Linked DNA regions of Arabidopsis thaliana. The protein of the gene in region 4 interacts with the protein of the main gene of each other region in a pairwise test. Each region holds a gene or a part of one and is shown on either strand. Other genes may lie near its edges.

Region 1 (4,586 bases), on a different chromosome or scaffold from region 4:
TGATGGTCATATTTTTGCCTTTTTTATATGGCTTTAGATGGAGATATGGATGAGTGGGATCAAGAGACCCTTGAAAAGGTTGTTGAATCAAAGAAAAATGAATATAATCAGAATAAGCCAACAGATATCGTAAGTTGTTTCTCTTATCTTGTGTTTCTCGGACTTTTTATTATATGCTTGTCGGGACATGCTTATCAGTTATTAGTAGCTTTTCTCTTGTTAATGCACTGTGAAAATGTCTGAACTGGTTTGTGTTCAAATATACAGCCTTTTAACGTGTATTATGTGAAGTGATGCATTAGTTTTGGTTGCACTTGCTGTGATTAACCTTTAGCTGATGTGCATTCGCCTTACGATGCGCTTCCTTTAGCTAATAGCACGGTTCATATTAAGAGCCATTAGGGTCTTAGATGTTATTATGCCTCCCGTTGTTCCCTTGTGTTTTTCTGCGCACTTGGTTCATGCCTGACAAGAACTCATGCTTTTGGTGATGTTAGTGCTAATCATAATTTTGAAATAAATGTTTCTTAACTATATACGTCTATGCTAAAAGAAATAATATCTCTGCGTCTCATCTCAATAATCATCTCATAAACTTATCCTAAACACATGAGTTATTTGTCTCGCTGAGTTTTATTGACTTGTAATTGTTTTTGTGTTTACTGAAAAATAATAGGTTTGCAAGTATTTTCTGGATGCTGTGGAAAAGAAACAGTATGGGTGGTTCTGGTCATGCCCCAATGGTGGCAAAGAGTGTCATTACAGACACGCGCTTCCTCCTGGATATGTCCTTAAATCTCAAATGAAAGCCCTCTTGGAAGAGGAGTCATCGAAGAAGCTGGCAGTTGAGGACGAAATCGAAAACGAGGTTTAAAATACTCCTCAAGTTTCCCTCATAGCTGCTAGGACCCGGTACTTGATTTGTGAGACCCATGTTTTCTTGTTCTATGTTTCAGCGTGCAAAACTGCAAACCGCAACACAAATGACTCCTGCACTATTTATGGAATGGAAGAGGAAGAAAATTGCTGAGAGAGATGCCGGTTTGGCTGCTTCTCAAGCGGAGAGAGCTAAGAACGACCGTATGAGGTAATCCCCATTCATCATTCTGTTACATATCCATCTCCAGTGTGACTCTATTTTTGTCCTTGGAAGCTGATTCATTGTGTGGATTTGTAACCTCAGTGGTCGGGAGCTGTTTCTGTCCAATGCAAGCTTGTTTGTGGATGATGCTGAGGCTTGTGAAGAATACGAGAGGGAAAGAGAGCAGGAAGAGACTGAACAAAAGGTGAGCTCTCTCTCTCTCTCTCTCTCTCTCTCTCTCTCTCTCTCTCTCTCACTCACTCATCATTTAAAACAACCAAGTCATGTTAATGGAATCTTGAGTTTTTTGCTTTTCAGGCAAAGAACAAAGAAGCAGAGGCAGGGACAAGCAAGAGTAGTGGTGATGCTGAACAGAGTTCGAAAGAAGTCAATGAAGAAGAAGAAGATGACGATGATGATGATGATGACCTAGACATGGATGAGCTGGATGAATTGGAAGCAAGCTTGTCGAAAACATCGATCCAGATTCGTGAGCCAAACGACGAAGGGTCATCTTGAAATGAAAAATGGTCTAAGAGGAAGAGGTGGAGGAGAGAAAGCACATGTTTTGTTTTTGTGTACTTTCAATAGATTGGATTTTGCAGACACAAACCCCATTTTGGGGTGTTGAATAATTTCTGTTACTGTTTTACAGTCTTAAATGGCCTCATCAAAGAACTAGTAGTATCTTTTTTGTCCAATCATTTTCATCTTTCTTTGTTGTTGTTAATTTTATCATGATGTGTAAATAAAAGGTCGTAAACTTACTAGAGAAAATAAAAACTACAGAAATGTATTAAAAACAAAGAATTTTAATCAATTCTTATGAATATTTAGTTGTTTTATTGATATTTATAAATAAAGAACAAAAAATATCGGCGATATAAAAAGAGGTAAATTAATCTGAGGGCAAAAATAAGAAAAGCATCCAATTTCGTCGGAAGAAGAAATCGCCATGGTAGCCGCAACAGTAAACCTCGCGAACATGACATGGACGTCGTTAAATTCAAATCCAGCAATCTCTTTCTCCATGTTAAGCGGAATCAGAAACTTGGGCATGTTACCTTTCAGGAGATGTCTAAAGCCGACAGTTATCGGAATCGCGTCGTGGCCACCACTCCGTTGTTCTTCTGTTAAGGCTATGTCTTCATCATCGTCTTCGTCTGGATCGACATTGGAGGAGACTGTTAAAACGACTGTGGCAGAGAACCCTGTCGTTGTTTACTCCAAAACCTGGTGCTCGTAGGTTCACTATACTTTTTGGTTCAATTAGAGGAATGGGTTTTGTTAATTTATGATCTAGTTTGTCAATATTGATACTTTTACTGGGTTTGTTCTTTTTGGTGGTGAAGATACTCGTCTCAAGTGAAGTCCTTGTTCAAGAGTCTTCAAGTTGAGCCACTGGTTGTTGAATTGGATCAACTTGGTATGCTCAATTCTTTACTTTGGTTTGCTATATGGGTCTGAGTAGTTTGCTATATTGGTTTTGATAATGTGTGTGATATTGTTTATATCGATCAAGGAAGAGCTGGTTACAAGTGCCCTAATGTTTCAGCATTTTGACTGGATGAAATTAATACTTGTTTCCAACTTCTTCTTGTTTATCTTCTGGTTCATTTGGCTGCTTGCTTGAATTGGTTTGTATGTTTTTTGATTAGATTTTGATGGAGGATTGATGATGGTTAGGGGGGTTTCTAATGGCCTAAGATAGCTTTACATTTCAGAGATTCTGTGTCTTGTTTATGTGAAAAATTTACTTCCACTGTAGTTTTCCTTGGACCAATGACTTGTTGATGAAGAATCAACGGGTAGGCTAGTACTTCTAATGGCTTAAATTTTTCAAATTGAAGATTCTTTCCTGCCTTTGAATCTTAGACAGTATGCTTCTATTTGTTAGAAACTATTATGTTGCTATCTTCTTAGTTATCTTTTCTCGTGTCAAGATTTGGTGACTTTCCAAAACCATTTGTTCTTTCTTGTCTTGTTTAGTTTCTTTGGGTAAAACATCTCTGCCTCATGATATTGGTCTGAAACATTTACAAAAGTTTTGGTGGTTTTTGGCGTTTCCAGGTTCAGAAGGGTCGCAGCTGCAGAATGTGTTGGAGAAAATTACTGGACAATACACTGTTCCCAATGTTTTCATCGGTTAGTTGTTTCATCATTTAAGCCAGTTACTAACTATACTCTGATCATTTTTCTTGATTATTTTGCCTGAAAACAAAACTATCGATAAAATCTTAGCCACTACATTTGCTATGACCATCACTTATCTAATTTTGATATCATGTTTTTGTTCATGACCAGGAGGCAAGCACATTGGTGGCTGCTCAGGTACAATCTCTCTTCCTTTCTTACCTCAACACCGAGATTTTTCTAATATGTAATTGAGATCGTCTTTGTGTATTTTGGCACCAAGATAGATAGTACTCAAGATCTTGCTCAATGTCTTGTGATTTTTCTGGTAACTTGACCTGCATATCATTATTGTTGAACAGATACATTGCAGCTGCACAATAAAGGAGAGCTGGAAGCAATTTTAGCTGAAGCCAATGGAAAAAACGGTCAGACCTAGAGATTTCTAGAGATGAAACTGGTTGGTGATTCTTCATGTTTCCTTATTGAAGTCGAGATGATTTGCTGTTTGAATTTACTGTCTATATAGAGATTTTCAATAAGAATCTTGTGTTTCTTTCTACGTACAAAAAACAGTCAATGAGTCATGCTGGGTTCTGTTACTAAACCGGAGTTGCTGAGTTTGATCCACACTACTTGGAATTTGCAATCATTTTTGGGTGGCTAAATGCATATTTGGAAATCGATCTTGAGATTGTAAAAGATAAAAGATGAATTGTTGGTTAACTTTTTGGTACATACGGTTTTGTTTAAGATTACAAACAGACGAACCGGTTTAGAGATAAACCATGTCTCTCATTTTACTTCTTCCACCTCGTCCAATGCGTAGTTGTTGGTCGATATATTCGCGTAATTCACCTTGGCGAACCGGACCACAACCGGATATCGGGTCTTCGGGTCCTGACAATTTAGACCGGAATATAAGATGAAACGATATCTAACCGTTAGATCGTTAACTTCAAAAGTAAATGCATTACCTGATCAACGGCCACAACTGATCCAACGTTCTTGTACCAGTATGATTCTTTCCTTAGAATCTTGACCTGTAAGTCCTCAAAATTGTTTATAAATTTCACAGTAGCCCTATAACTCTTAATATGTATACTAAATAGACCCAGAACTTATTGATGATACCCAGTTTAGCTCAAATATTAGTCCAATCTTCTCTACTAGCATCTAATTAAGCTTGAATTTTCTTCTACCACAAGGGTTAGTTCCTTTTAATCCTGATCTAGAGGTCCAAAAACTTCATATAAGTTTCACATTGACCCCATACTTACAAAATTATTCTAAATAGTCCAGAAACTTTATTGTAATCCAAACTTGGCTATCATCAATAAACTCAAAATTTTGAAGTATAAACATGCATCAA
Region 2 (4,636 bases), on a different chromosome or scaffold from region 4:
GCTCTTGGACGTTATGGAACCGGACATGCTTATACTATAAACCTACGAGCTACTGTAGGACTTAGCGGTTGGCTTCCTGGTTGGAGGTATAAATATATGTCTTCAACCCTTTCTTGTCACTTGTTAACACAGAGACTTAACATTGAAAGCTTAAACATAACAATGCAGGAGCTTAAGGAGCAAAATAGAAAGTTCGAATGAGGTTGCAAGGCGCGCTGCATCGATACCGATCTTACTTGCACATGGAACTTGTATGTTTACATATATCATTATATGATTTACTGTTTCAAGATAAAATCACCGAAGAGAATCTAGAATTTTATTCACTTTATGTGTTTTTTGGTTGCAGCGGACGATGTAGTTCCTTATAGATTTGGAGAAAAATCTGCTCATTCACTTGCCATGGCTGGATTCCGACAAACTATGTTCAAACCATATGAAGGGTAACTGTTCAACCTATATCCCAAAGTTATCATTATCAATCTAGTTGTTTTAGTCTGAGATTGTGAGGTTTTAATGTGATTGTGTAGGCTTGGTCACTATACGGTTCCTAAAGAAATGGATGAGGTGGTTCACTGGCTCGTCTCAAGGCTTGGTCTCGAGGGTTCGCGTTAAACTTTACAAGCATCTTCTCAGCATCTCTATAGCTATTATACGATGGTGTAGAATATTTATATTATATATATAAGGGGTGGGGGGTTTCTTGGGGTATACGGTGTTCTCTCATGTTTCTACTGTTTTGTGATTTATTCATGCTTTTCTACTGTTCGATTCTTGATTATGAATAATAAAATAAATAAATAAGGCTCGTTGGGCTTCTTTGATTTTGCTATCTTAGTTTACCAAAGTTTTTATTCATACGAAATCCAAAGATTTTTGAGTTTCTGAGACATTATTTTACCGTACATGAAAAGACATTCTTATGAAAAGAAAGAACAAAAACATAATAACTTCCACTCGTCAGCATAACTTCCAAACTTTGGATCAATCTTGGTTTCCGGAGACGTCTTTAAGCTTCTGCTCCAATTCACCTTCCTAGAATAGTAAAAGAGACTTGTGATTAAACAAACACAATGGAAACGGGGGAAAAAAAAGTCAAACAGGGTCTGCTTTAAGTGGAACTAACCTTGTGCATGTTAAGGATGATGTCTGAGCCGCCAATGAACTCTCCCTTAATGAAGATCTGTGGAAACGTAGGCCAGTGGCTGCAAAGAAATAAAGACTTGAAAATCAAAGGGAGGTCTAGATCATATAGGTCAAAGATTAAGGAATGAACGGTAACGAACTTCAATAACAAAGCCAAACTTTATGAAAAAACTTTGAGAATGAGATTATACAACTCTCTGTATGAAACTTTCATTAAGTGTCCACATACTCACCTGAAGGATTTCACAGCGTTTTTCAACTCTTGGTCTTCTAGAATGTTTCTAGAACTGATAGGAACATCTAAAGAAGGATATCACAAGATAGTAGATCAGAACACAGAGCCTAACGCCAATAGTAAAGAAAATTCACAGAAGGCTTCTTCAGTTTCAATCAACATTTCAACAAAACTTACTATATTGCTGCAAAACTCTGACGGCTAGTGAGCTAAACCCACACTGAGGAGATTCAGGGACACCTTTCATGTAGATCATAACAGGATTATCCTTCACATCCTACACAACCACCAAAGCTAAAACAGCATTAGCAAACACCTAACAAAGAAACATTCAACTTCAAATCTAGAGAAGCTGGAGTGTACATTCTCAACGATATCTTTAAGTGAGTCCGTAGAATCGGGAGGGACTTTTTGTGTAGGCTTGAAATCATCATGTGTATCTGAATCACTTGGCACTGTTGAGGAAAATCTCATCATCCCATTTTGGTAGACTGATGCAGACGTCTGCAAACAAAAACCACATCATTCTTCTCCATGTTAAATTCAACTATCAAATGATCATCAATACCATCTTCTATTGGAAACAAATTCATTTTCACATAATTCAAAACCATACGCTCACGTAACTATCTAATCCGGTTCAACTAACAAAAGAATCAGAACCTCAAATGTTATATAAAGGAGCAATTTTTAAGTGATTCAAGATGGGAAAAGAGAAAACTTTATTGAGCAAACATTAGATACATCAAAATTGAGTAAAAGGGTTATGAGAGAATCTAACCAATCTGCTAGAACGAACAGCTTTGAGATTAGCGATTCCTTTTATAAGTCTGCTCGATAAAGAAGCCGCCATCTCTAAATCACGCAGATTTCTTCAAAGTGTTCCGCGGTTTTGTTTAATCGAAATCTGTCTAGAAAACTATCAAGAACAGGAATGAGAAAAAAAGATTAGAGAGGGTAGCTACGAGGAAGAAGGACGGAGCTAGAGATCTTTACAATGTCGCGACCGCTTCTCTTCATCTCCAGTGACCGACCCAGAGAACGACGTCGTGTCATTACTCATAACCCTAAGATGTTATACGATGTCGTTTCGGATGGTCACCAAAGTATACGTCCGTTGACGTCTTGATAAATTTATTTGGTTTGCTCGGTTTAGATAAATTACTATTCAATTTTTTTGGTTTACTTCTCTCATTTTAGTAGATCTATGAAATTGAACGATTCGTAAAACGTAAAAGCAGACACAAATGTTTTATTGAAATTTTTGATAAAAGAAATTGAAAGATTAGTAAAACCCGTTTGGATTAGCAGCTATATCTGTATAATGCTAATGCTTGATGACCAACATACGAAGTGGACCATGATGTGTATTAATAACTGTTTATTGTAACAAAAATAGAAATTTGAGAACACATAAGTTGTAACAGGATCAAATCTAAACTTATTGGCTGGAAATTAGAAGTCTCCAGGATCACCGTCACAACAAGAAACACAGCTGAACCACAACCATAAAGAAAGACACAACGGAAATTACAAAAACACAAACACAAAACTCAAAAGACCAACTAACACAAAGATACTTTCATATCGTTCTCAATTTTGTTTTCTCATCACTTCCTCTGATAAGTCTGATGAGTCGGATCAGTGGTTCGAGTAGTTGCAGTAGTGGTAGTAGTACTTCCTGGATAATGCTCTTTGTCTTCTTCCTCAGTAGCCATCCCAAAAGTATGCTTCACTGCATCAGCTGCACCCATTGCCATTTGCTTAACATGCTCACCAGTCTGGCTCAAGAATCCACCCGTCTTGTCTCTACCGGCTTCAGCCGTCTCCTTTGTGTACTGTGCCGCACCTTGAGCCGTCTCCTTTGTATACTGAGCAGCGTCTTGAGCCTTGTTCTTTATGGCTTCGCCTGTCTCCGATAAGTAGCTCCCGGCCTTGTCCTTGGCCTCGCGAGCTTTGTCGCCAGCTTGAGATGTCTTTTCTTTTGCTGCTTGCGTCGTCTCATGGGCCTTTTGCTGTGCCGTTTGGGCAGTTTGAGATGTCTTCTCTTTTGCTGACTGGGCCGTTTCATGGGCCTTCTGCTGAGCCGCTTGGGCAGTTTGAGATGTCTTATCTTTAGCTGACTGGGCTGTCTCATGGGCCTTCTGTTGGGCTGTTTGGGCCGTTTGAGAAGTCTTGTCCCGGCCCTCCTCAGCCTTGTCCCTCATCGTTCCCATAGCTTGTCCAGTCTTCTCCTGGTATTACACAGACAAATCATCTTAGAGCTTATATAATGTGGTTTTACGTATACACATACACAAAAATATATTCTTATTACCTGGGCCTTGCCTCTGGTCTCACCAGCTTTGTAGCTCTGTTGGTTGGATGCCATTTCTTTCTTCAAATGTGTATCAAACGAAACTAGATAAGTTTTAAAAGCTTTTTTCGTAAAAGTATTTGTTGTTGTAGTAGAAACTGTGATTTGTCTCCCCAAACCATCGGGACATTTGTAGTGTGTCTTGGTCGGCGGAGAAGAAGACACGTATTAGCACATTGAAACGTGTATAGCTGCGTGGTGTGTTGAGGTTAAAAGAAAATTAAAAAAATAGGAGTTTAGGGGTGTTGTGCTTTACGTTGCAAGCGTTAGTATGCGGTTTCTCGGTCTTGTCCGTGTTGTCCTCTGAGGTTGCGACACCTCATGGTTAAGAGGAAGATGCTTGCTACGTGGCAACACCATAAGTATCGTCGTCGCATGTTATGAGATTGCTAATTTTCATTTTTTTATTGTATCATGGAAATCGGCCGTCGGTCGGTACATGTTCCGTGACGTATTAACTATCAACTAACATTTAGATTATCACGATTAAAATACTCTTTAAATTATTATCTTCACTTACAAGAGCCAAACTTGATCTCATATAAACCAAGCAACTTCGAGGTTATTAGCTTTAACTACTCACCTTCACATAAATAGTGTGACAATTAGCCAAGGAAATTTGCCTTGTGTGAATCATATGCAAATATTTAGATGATGTAATTAGTATTGTATAAATACTACTAATTAACATTTAACTATAGTCTATAGACACACTGAGACAACTATCACTGCTACACAAGTGTGACAAATTTAGATGTAACCAATATACATATACGATGTCAGACAAAAAAAGGGGATGAGTACTAAAAAGTGTATTTATCAAACACAAATGAACCCACTACCAAGCCTCGAGCAAATTTTAGTGGCCTCCTTGATCAATGGATCCACTTAAAAAGAAT
Region 3 (3,694 bases), on a different chromosome or scaffold from region 4:
CTAAGGTTTAGTACTGTTCCTCTTTGTGTCCGAGTTTTCACTTGTTTACTAATTGGCTTCTTTAGCTTTATGAGCCTGAAAGATGTTATCTTCTTTCTTATTAGGGTCCCAAGTTCTGTCGACAGTAACAACAGTAACTTGGGGTTTCGGGTTTCAAGATATGGATAGATTCAGTGAGTTATCTGATGAAGTGCTTATTAAGATATTATTGTTTGTTCCAACAAAATTGCTGTATCCACTAGCATTTTGTCGAAAAGATGGGAGTATCTTTGGATGTGGTTGCCTAAACTTAAGTATGGTCATAGAGATTCTTCTGAATGCAAGAGGTTGGAGTGTTTTCTTGACAAAAATCTGCCATTACATAGAGCTCCGGTTATAGAAAGCTTCCGTCTTTACTTAATTGATTCAAAATGCACACCTGAGAATATCAAGATGTGGGTTGTTATAGCAGTTTCTCACTGCCTGCGTGAGCTGGAGGTTATTTATTCTTCATATCCGGAGAAGCCAAACATATTGCCGAGTAACTTGTATACCTGCAAATCGCTTGTGATCTTGGAACTCTGTGGCGAGATTCGCTTGGATGTTCCTCGAATGGCATTTCTTCCCTCTCTGAAAACTTTGCAACTTCACAGCGTGAGATACCTCAATGAAGACTCTCTTCATCGGCTTCTATCTAACTGCCCTGTTCTTGAAGATCTATTGGTGGATTTACTTTTGTCAGACAGCATGGAAAAGCTAACTGTTGTTGTCCCATCTTTGCAGATTTTATCACTCTTTATACCTCATTCTTATGAGATCGATGGGATTGTGATAGAAACTCCTTCTTTAAAGTATTTTAAACTTATAGACCATAACAGTAAGAGTCACTACTGTTTGGTTAAGAATATGCCTAACCTGATAGAGGCAGATATAGATGTTGAATTACATAGCATCAAGAGTCTTATTGGATCAATCACATCTGTCAAGCGTCTTTCAATATGTTCACAGGTATCATTTTCTCAACTCATTGTTTAGATATGCATTTGCTGATAATTTTTAATATTGCGCAGGCTATGTATGATGGAGGTTTTGTCTTCAACCAGCTTAAACATCTGAAGCTATGTAGATGCAAAGGGCATTCGTCGGATTTACTTGTCCGACTGCTCAAAGATTCTTCTAACTTACAAGCACTAGACCTTTCCGAAATGGATGTAAGTTTGTTCGTCAAACTCTTTTTTCTTGTCTGATGCACATTATGGTTTTAGTGTAATTCTTCTTCTGTTTGATCTGTAATTCTTCTTCTGTTTGATCTGTAATTCTTCTTCTGTTTGATCTCAGTATCATGAGAATCATGATATCCTTTACTGGCATCAACCAAGTACTGTCCCTGAATGTATGTTGTTGAGTCTCCAAACTCTCAACTTGTCGGCATATAGAGGAACACCAGAAGAGAGAGATCTTGCAGTGTATTTCTTGAAGAACGCTGTTCACTTGAAGACCACAACAATCAAGTCATGTGTTTTTGATGATGAAAGATTTGACATGTTAAAGGAGTTGGCACTTTCTTCTAGAGCTTCAACAACATGCCAACTCGTGTTTGATTGAGAGTATTTGATCACCAAAACAAAGCTTGTTCTTCAGTTCTTCCATGTCCCCGGGCTCGTATGGTTTGTCTTCAACCTGAAAATTTGTTTTCGTCAACCATCTTTTTCTATGTTTTCCGTTTTTTTTGTATGTGATAAAAACTTTATTCTATATGTTGTCCACCAAAAAACAAATTATGTTGATTGGAGAAGTTATATGATAAGTTTTAATCGTTTATGGGGTTTTATAGGTGTGTAGAGATATATACATACCTTGTGAATGAAGAAAAGAGAACTAGCTCTGTGTTGAAAAACTGAAAAGCATTTGATGCCCTGATAATTTCTCTAAAATTATTAAACCGAAATACTAATACGATCCAAGTGGAACCAACCAATTTCTTAATATCTAAAATACCGGAATCTAAAGAGTCGAACCAAACCGAACCGGAATGTCCTCTAATTTTTATTTTTAAACCCATGATTATGACATGCACTACCGGCTTAGTGGTGATGTTTGGCAACATGGTTTATTCAATTCTCACTCGCACTGAGTGTCTGTGGCTCATAAATCATTTACCTTTTCAATTTCTCAATTCCAAATCTAAAAGTCGTCAAAAATGGCTCTCCGATCTGTCAAAACGCCGACCTTGATAACTTCGGTCGCCGTCGTCTCCTCCTCCGTTACCAACAAGCCTCACTCTATCAGATTCTCTCTTAAACCAACGTCGGCACTCGTCGTCCATAACCATCAGCTATCGTTCTACGGTTCGAATCTCAAGCTGAAACCAACTAAATTCCGATGCTCAGCGTCGGCTCTTACGCCGCAACTTAAAGACACGCTGGAGAAACTGGTGAATTCGGAGAAAGTGGTTCTGTTTATGAAAGGAACGAGAGACTTCCCGATGTGTGGATTCTCCAACACTGTGGTTCAGATTTTGAAGAATCTGAATGTTCCTTTCGAAGATGTGAATATTCTGGAGAATGAGATGTTGAGGCAAGGACTTAAAGAGTATTCGAATTGGCCGACGTTTCCTCAGCTTTATATCGGCGGTGAGTTTTTCGGTGGTTGTGATATTACTCTTGAGGCGTTTAAGACTGGAGAATTGCAGGAAGAGGTGGAGAAAGCTATGTGCTCTTGATCCTGATTTCAATACTTGGTTTTTGTGATGATGGAATTTGATCTTATCTATCTATCTATCACCTGGGAAAAAAAATGTGATTTTGATGTTTCAGAGTTTGTGGTTGTAACATTAAGAGACATATATTGTATGATGGATTTAGGTATACAACAGTTGGAGTTGCTTGGAATTTGAGTTTCCTTTGTCATATGTGTTGGCCTGCAAATTTGTGTTGTTTGTTGAAAGGTTTATGTGTGAAGTAGTGCTAGTAGAATCTAAGTTTGTTTCTGACTAAGAGACATGAAGTCATGGGTTGTTATGCTCATTCATATCCTGATTGAGATACAATTTAAAGAAACTTAGTTCCAAAGATTCTGAACATTCACCGGTACAGTGTGTCTGCAAATGGTATTCTGTCTCACTTCAATGTCTAAACACGTTGTCTCAAAATGTATCGTTTGTTAGATACTCCTTTCAAGACATATGATTTAGCCTCGCATGTGTTCGTTGATCCAAGTTTTACCGGTTTGATAAGTCTCCAGTCTTAGCAATAAATCCAGACCGGATTCATGACCAATCGCAGATTTACCGGTCCGGGTCAAGTTTTAAAACATTAGTAGAAATGTGTTTCACCGAACAGGAAGACTTATCTGATAGCATCTCGTTGCAGTGGATAAATGGCAAAATAGTAATATACGTAGATTCTGCTTTTATCTGAACCACATAGTGCAGATGGATATCGAACAGAAGAACATGATATCGAGAAGACACGTGGCCCAATGAAAAAGCCACGCAGGCTCTGTATAGCCAATTGCAATCTGGTTTTAGATTCTCATCTCACAAATCTTACTTATACGATCAGTCTCCCACATTCACACTTCCACCAAACACCTCTCGTCCACATCTTTCTCCTTTGGTGGCAAACACAACGACAGATAGAGAGAAACGATGGCGTCGAACTCGCTTATGAGCTGTGGCATAGCCGCCGTGTACCCTTCGCTTCTCTCTTCTTCC
Region 4 (3,993 bases):
CAAAGAGTAATGCACAAGACTTTTTCTCATAACTCCCAGCAACTAGTAATGTGCTGTCAGGGATGAAATTGCTTTAATAAAAGAGAATACATCAATTAGTAAGATATCACTGAATAATATGGCTGTTAGTTATGCCTTAATTATCCCAAAGAAGTATTATAAAAAAAAAAAAAATGGCCAAAGAAGCTAGGAAAGATTTTTTACTCCTGATGACACTATGTATTGACAAGAGTAGATTACAGAAAGCAATTACACTCCAAATATATTCTCACCTGGATGATCAAAGTTGTATTCATGAACTCTAGCAAGTTCTTCTTCAGTCAGATTATGATAGAACGAGTCCTGCCAAAAATCATTATCATAGGATATTAAGTCGAGCAATTTGTGGTTTATCATGATGCCAAAGGAATTTGAGAATTAGATAAATAGACTGACATAAATATCTAAACAATGGTGACAAGGTTGAACAATGTTAAACTTCAGCCATATATAAGTTATTAGCTGGTAATATTCTCCTTTTAGATCTCTAAATTGTGTGGAATTCAATTGACTTCATATACATTCGAAACACAAATCAAACCGGTGGTTATCACTTAGCTCTATGAAACTTTATTAGCAAAACAAAATTACCAGGTTAATAAGTACAACACGCTGATCGTGCAGTTGCTGGATTATCATATCACAAACAGTAGTCTTTCCCGATGCTGCGCCTCCAGCAACACCTAACCAATTCAAGTCACAACATATCAATCAAGACCATTCGTCAAGCTTTTTTTATCCACGACCATATATTAATCAAAAATGAAAGCAAAAGCAGAACTCACCTATTACAAAAGGCTGTCTTTGGATATCTTCTGATGCAGAAGTGGTTTCCTTAAGTGCACTTGGTTCCAACCCATTCATGTGCCCATTCACGTGTAAACCAGAAAAATGTGCCCGCGAGGCAGCTTCGATCATGTCAACAACGGACTTAGAACCCATCCCGACGACAATTCTGGACATTGTACATTGGTAAAATAACTTAAATCTTTATCACAATCATGCATAAGCAAACACAATACAAGGAATCTTACAACTTCATCTAGATTCTAAACAACAATGTGAATCAAATCCAACTTTATCCAGCAAAACAGAGAAGAAAAGAGTGAAAAATTTCAGCTGCAACCAAAAACTGTAAATCCAAACTCTTTTGATAACCATAGATCAACAAATGCGAGAACAATCCAAAAGAAACAAAACCCTCAAGTTATAACATTTAATCAAACATGGAAGAACCAGAAGAGCAATGATCGATCATCTCGAGGTGAAATCGTACTTACATGAAAAAACAGATCGTTCAAAAGAGATAAGTCGTAAAAATGAGATTTTTAAAATTACCCAGATTCAGTTTTGCTCTCAAGGATCTAAGGAAAGCCTCAAATCAGAAAAAAAAACGGAGATGCAGTTTCTTTCTGTGGAAGTAGACAGAAACAATAGAATCTCAGATAAGAAAGGGACAGTTTTTTAATTTGATTAAATTTGATAAAAGTGTTTTTATTTAATTTAATTTAATTGCTTACATTGGTAAAAGCTGGATTCGGACATGATTGATTTGATATATAATAATGGCGGACGTGTTTGAGGTGACGAACGCAAGAGAACGAAGAACCAGGAAGACGATGCTTCAAAACAAAACAAAAAAAATCTAGATATCTTTTTCTTTTCCTTATTTATGAAAAGAGTCGTATACTTTCTAATTATTCATAATCAACCCCACAATTGATTTTACATCTAATTTTTGGATTTTGGTACATTCCCGGTTTAATTCCCGGTTACTACCTAATTGGCGGTATTGGTTTTTGACTCAGAAAAAGTGAAGAAGGAGAGCTTTCATCATCATCTCAGTCTCTCTCGAAGTTTCAAGTTCGCGACTATGGCAGCAGCGATGTCTTCTTCTTGTTGCGCTTCCTCGCTTCGTTTAATCCCATTCAAACGGACCTTGTTTTCTTCAATCCATTATCCGGCCAAAACCCTTCTTCTACGACCACTAAAACCGTCGGAAGTTCCTTCCTTTCGCCGGACGATCATCACTTTCCAGAAAATTTCAACCGGGATTGTTCCTCCACCATCGGCTTCATCATCTCCGTCGAGCTATGGAGACCTTCAACCAATCGAAGAGCTTCCACCGAAGCTACAAGAGATCGTCAAGCTTTTCCAATCGGTACAAGAGCCAAAGGCTAAATACGAGCAGCTTATGTTCTACGGGAAGAATCTGACACCTCTCGATTCTCAATTCAAGACGAGGGAGAATAAAGTAGAAGGATGTGTTTCTCAGGTTTGGGTTAGGGCTTTCTTTGATGAGGAACGTAATGTTGTGTATGAAGCTGATTCTGATTCGGTTCTCACTAAAGGGTTAGCTGCTCTATTAGTCAAGGGTTTATCTGGAAGACCTGTCCCTGAGATTTTGAGGATAACACCTGATTTCGCTGTTCTTCTCGGGTTGCAGCAGAGTCTGTCTCCTTCTAGAAACAATGGATTACTTAATATGCTTAAGCTGATGCAGAAAAAGGCTCTTCATTTGGAAGTCAAAGGTGAGGAAGATTCAAGTTCTGGAGAGAGTTCAGAATCCAGCTTTGTGTCTATTCCTGAGACTAAGGACGAAGCTAATGTTCCGGAGGTGGATTTGGAGTCTAAACCTGATCTAGTTGAGGATTTGGGAACAGAAAAGATTGATGATTCTGAGAGTGGGTCAAATGTTGTTGCTTTAGGGAGTAGAGGGATGAGGATAAGAGAGAAATTGGAGAAGGAGCTAGATCCTGTTGAGTTAGAAGTTGAAGATGTTTCTTACCAGCACGCAGGACATGCCGCTGTTAGAGGTAGTGCTGGTGATGATGGGGAAACACATTTCAACTTGCGAATCGTTTCGGATGCTTTCCAAGGTAAAAGCTTGGTCAAGAGACATAGGCTGATATATGACTTGTTGCAAGATGAGTTGAAGAGCGGGTTACATGCTCTCTCTATTGTGGCAAAGACTCCTGCTGAGGTTTGAGGGTGTAACATTGGAAGAAGTCAGGTCCTGATTCTTTTACTTCTTTTGGTCCATTTGCTTTGGATATTGTTCTCTGGACCTTCTAATAATGTTAAGAGCTCGATCAGGATTGTGTTAAATGAGAGATAGATATTGAAGGATATAAATAATGTTTTCGCCAATCGCCACATGATTCACCATTTTCAAACTGATTTCCCTTTATCTTATGAGGGTCAAGGTCTTTTTTGTTTTGATATGGTTTCCTGATATTAAGTTTTGTACCTACGCTTTGAGAGATGAATAGAGAGAATGCTCAAGGTTGTTGTCCATTTGGCTAAGTTTGAATCGTTAGAAAGATCACAGCACCTAGGGAAAGCGAAAAAGGAATTTGGGGAGAAAAATGGTACTATATTCATGCCACCATTAGACATGCGAAGTTTCTTGTTCATTTTTTAATTCTTCTAGAATCTAGATACTCAAAGTTGGTATTGTCTAATCAAGTGATGCAAGTTGGTTTGAGGGACTACAGAAAAAAAGAAAGAGATTTGGTTGCTTTACTTCTTTCTGATAAAATAAGTAAAAAATGTGAAAGGAGTTTCAGATGATCCCTGTTTCAGTCTACCGTTAGACATGTGATGTTTCTTAAAGCCCCATTAGCTGAGACTTGTGGGGTTTTATATACAATCAGCTTTACATACCTGTCTAGTGAAACCAGCTGTGGTTTTAGCCAACCAATTTCTGCAACTTTTCTTTCCTGAGACCATTGTATCTTTTTTTTTTTTTTTTTTTTGATCAAAGTTGAGATTTTGAATATTAAAATCCTCTGTGTTGGTATATGCTAAAAAATGGTTAAGCTTCTTCTTGTGTGTTTTACTGATTTTGATTACTTTAAGTCCTAAAGGGAACCAACATAGGCATCTAATGCTTGTACCTCTTTTGCTTTTGGTCTTAATTCTTTTCTCTGGTGGTTCAGGTATGTTGAACTG

What was found.
Region 1: the proteins of CPSUFE (region 4) and AT2G20270 interact in a two-hybrid assay, tested with the Arabidopsis thaliana proteins (one study listed by BioGRID).
Region 2: the proteins of CPSUFE (region 4) and GRX4 interact in a two-hybrid assay, tested with the Arabidopsis thaliana proteins (one study listed by BioGRID).
Region 3: the proteins of CPSUFE (region 4) and CXIP1 interact in a two-hybrid assay, tested with the Arabidopsis thaliana proteins (one study listed by BioGRID).

What each region holds. Positions count from the first base shown.
Region 1 is NC_003071.7:8,737,068-8,741,653, reverse strand, and holds AT2G20270 (Thioredoxin superfamily protein), read left to right. Parts: upstream 1-1,993; 5' UTR 1,994-2,036; coding exon 2,037-2,323; intron 2,324-2,433; coding exon 2,434-2,507; intron 2,508-3,070; coding exon 3,071-3,226; intron 3,227-3,385; coding exon 3,386-3,412; intron 3,413-3,576; coding exon 3,577-3,653; 3' UTR 3,654-3,868; downstream 3,869-4,586. Other genes in the region: AT2G20280 (Zinc finger C-x8-C-x5-C-x3-H type family protein), read left to right, coding at 38-129, 677-868, 957-1,087, 1,184-1,286, 1,400-1,600; PSAE-2 (photosystem I subunit E-2), read right to left, coding at 4,010-4,114, 4,192-4,257. UniProt on the Arabidopsis thaliana protein: May only reduce GSH-thiol disulfides, but not protein disulfides.
Region 2 is NC_003074.8:5,307,150-5,311,785, forward strand, and holds GRX4 (glutaredoxin 4), read right to left. Parts: upstream 2,476-4,636; 5' UTR 2,235-2,475; coding exon 2,163-2,234; intron 1,886-2,162; coding exon 1,745-1,885; intron 1,659-1,744; coding exon 1,559-1,658; intron 1,447-1,558; coding exon 1,380-1,446; intron 1,206-1,379; coding exon 1,127-1,205; intron 1,036-1,126; coding exon 985-1,035; 3' UTR 616-984; downstream 1-615. Other genes in the region: AT3G15650 (alpha/beta-Hydrolases superfamily protein), read left to right, coding at 1-86, 169-251, 350-443, 531-615; AT3G15670 (Late embryogenesis abundant protein (LEA) family protein), read right to left, coding at 2,992-3,615, 3,699-3,752.
Region 3 is NC_003074.8:20,340,857-20,344,550, reverse strand, and holds CXIP1 (CAX interacting protein 1), read left to right. Parts: upstream 1-2,086; 5' UTR 2,087-2,179; coding exon 2,180-2,701; 3' UTR 2,702-3,194; downstream 3,195-3,694. Other genes in the region: AT3G54910 (RNI-like superfamily protein), read left to right, coding at 274-987, 1,050-1,190, 1,318-1,584; LHCA1 (chlorophyll a-b binding protein 6), read left to right, coding at 3,629-3,694. UniProt on the Arabidopsis thaliana protein: May only reduce GSH-thiol disulfides, but not protein disulfides. Probably involved in the regulation of the redox state of the BOLA proteins. May act as Fe-S cluster donors to Fe-S cluster-requiring proteins.
Region 4 is NC_003075.7:13,381,491-13,385,483, reverse strand, and holds CPSUFE (chloroplast sulfur E), read left to right. Parts: upstream 1-1,842; 5' UTR 1,843-1,912; coding exon 1,913-3,028; 3' UTR 3,029-3,286; downstream 3,287-3,993. Other genes in the region: UKL4 (uridine kinase-like 4), read right to left, coding at 273-342, 631-722, 825-981. UniProt on the Arabidopsis thaliana protein: Participates in cysteine desulfurization mediated by NFS2 in chloroplast and NIFS1 in mitochondrion. Activates the cysteine desulfurase activity of NFS2.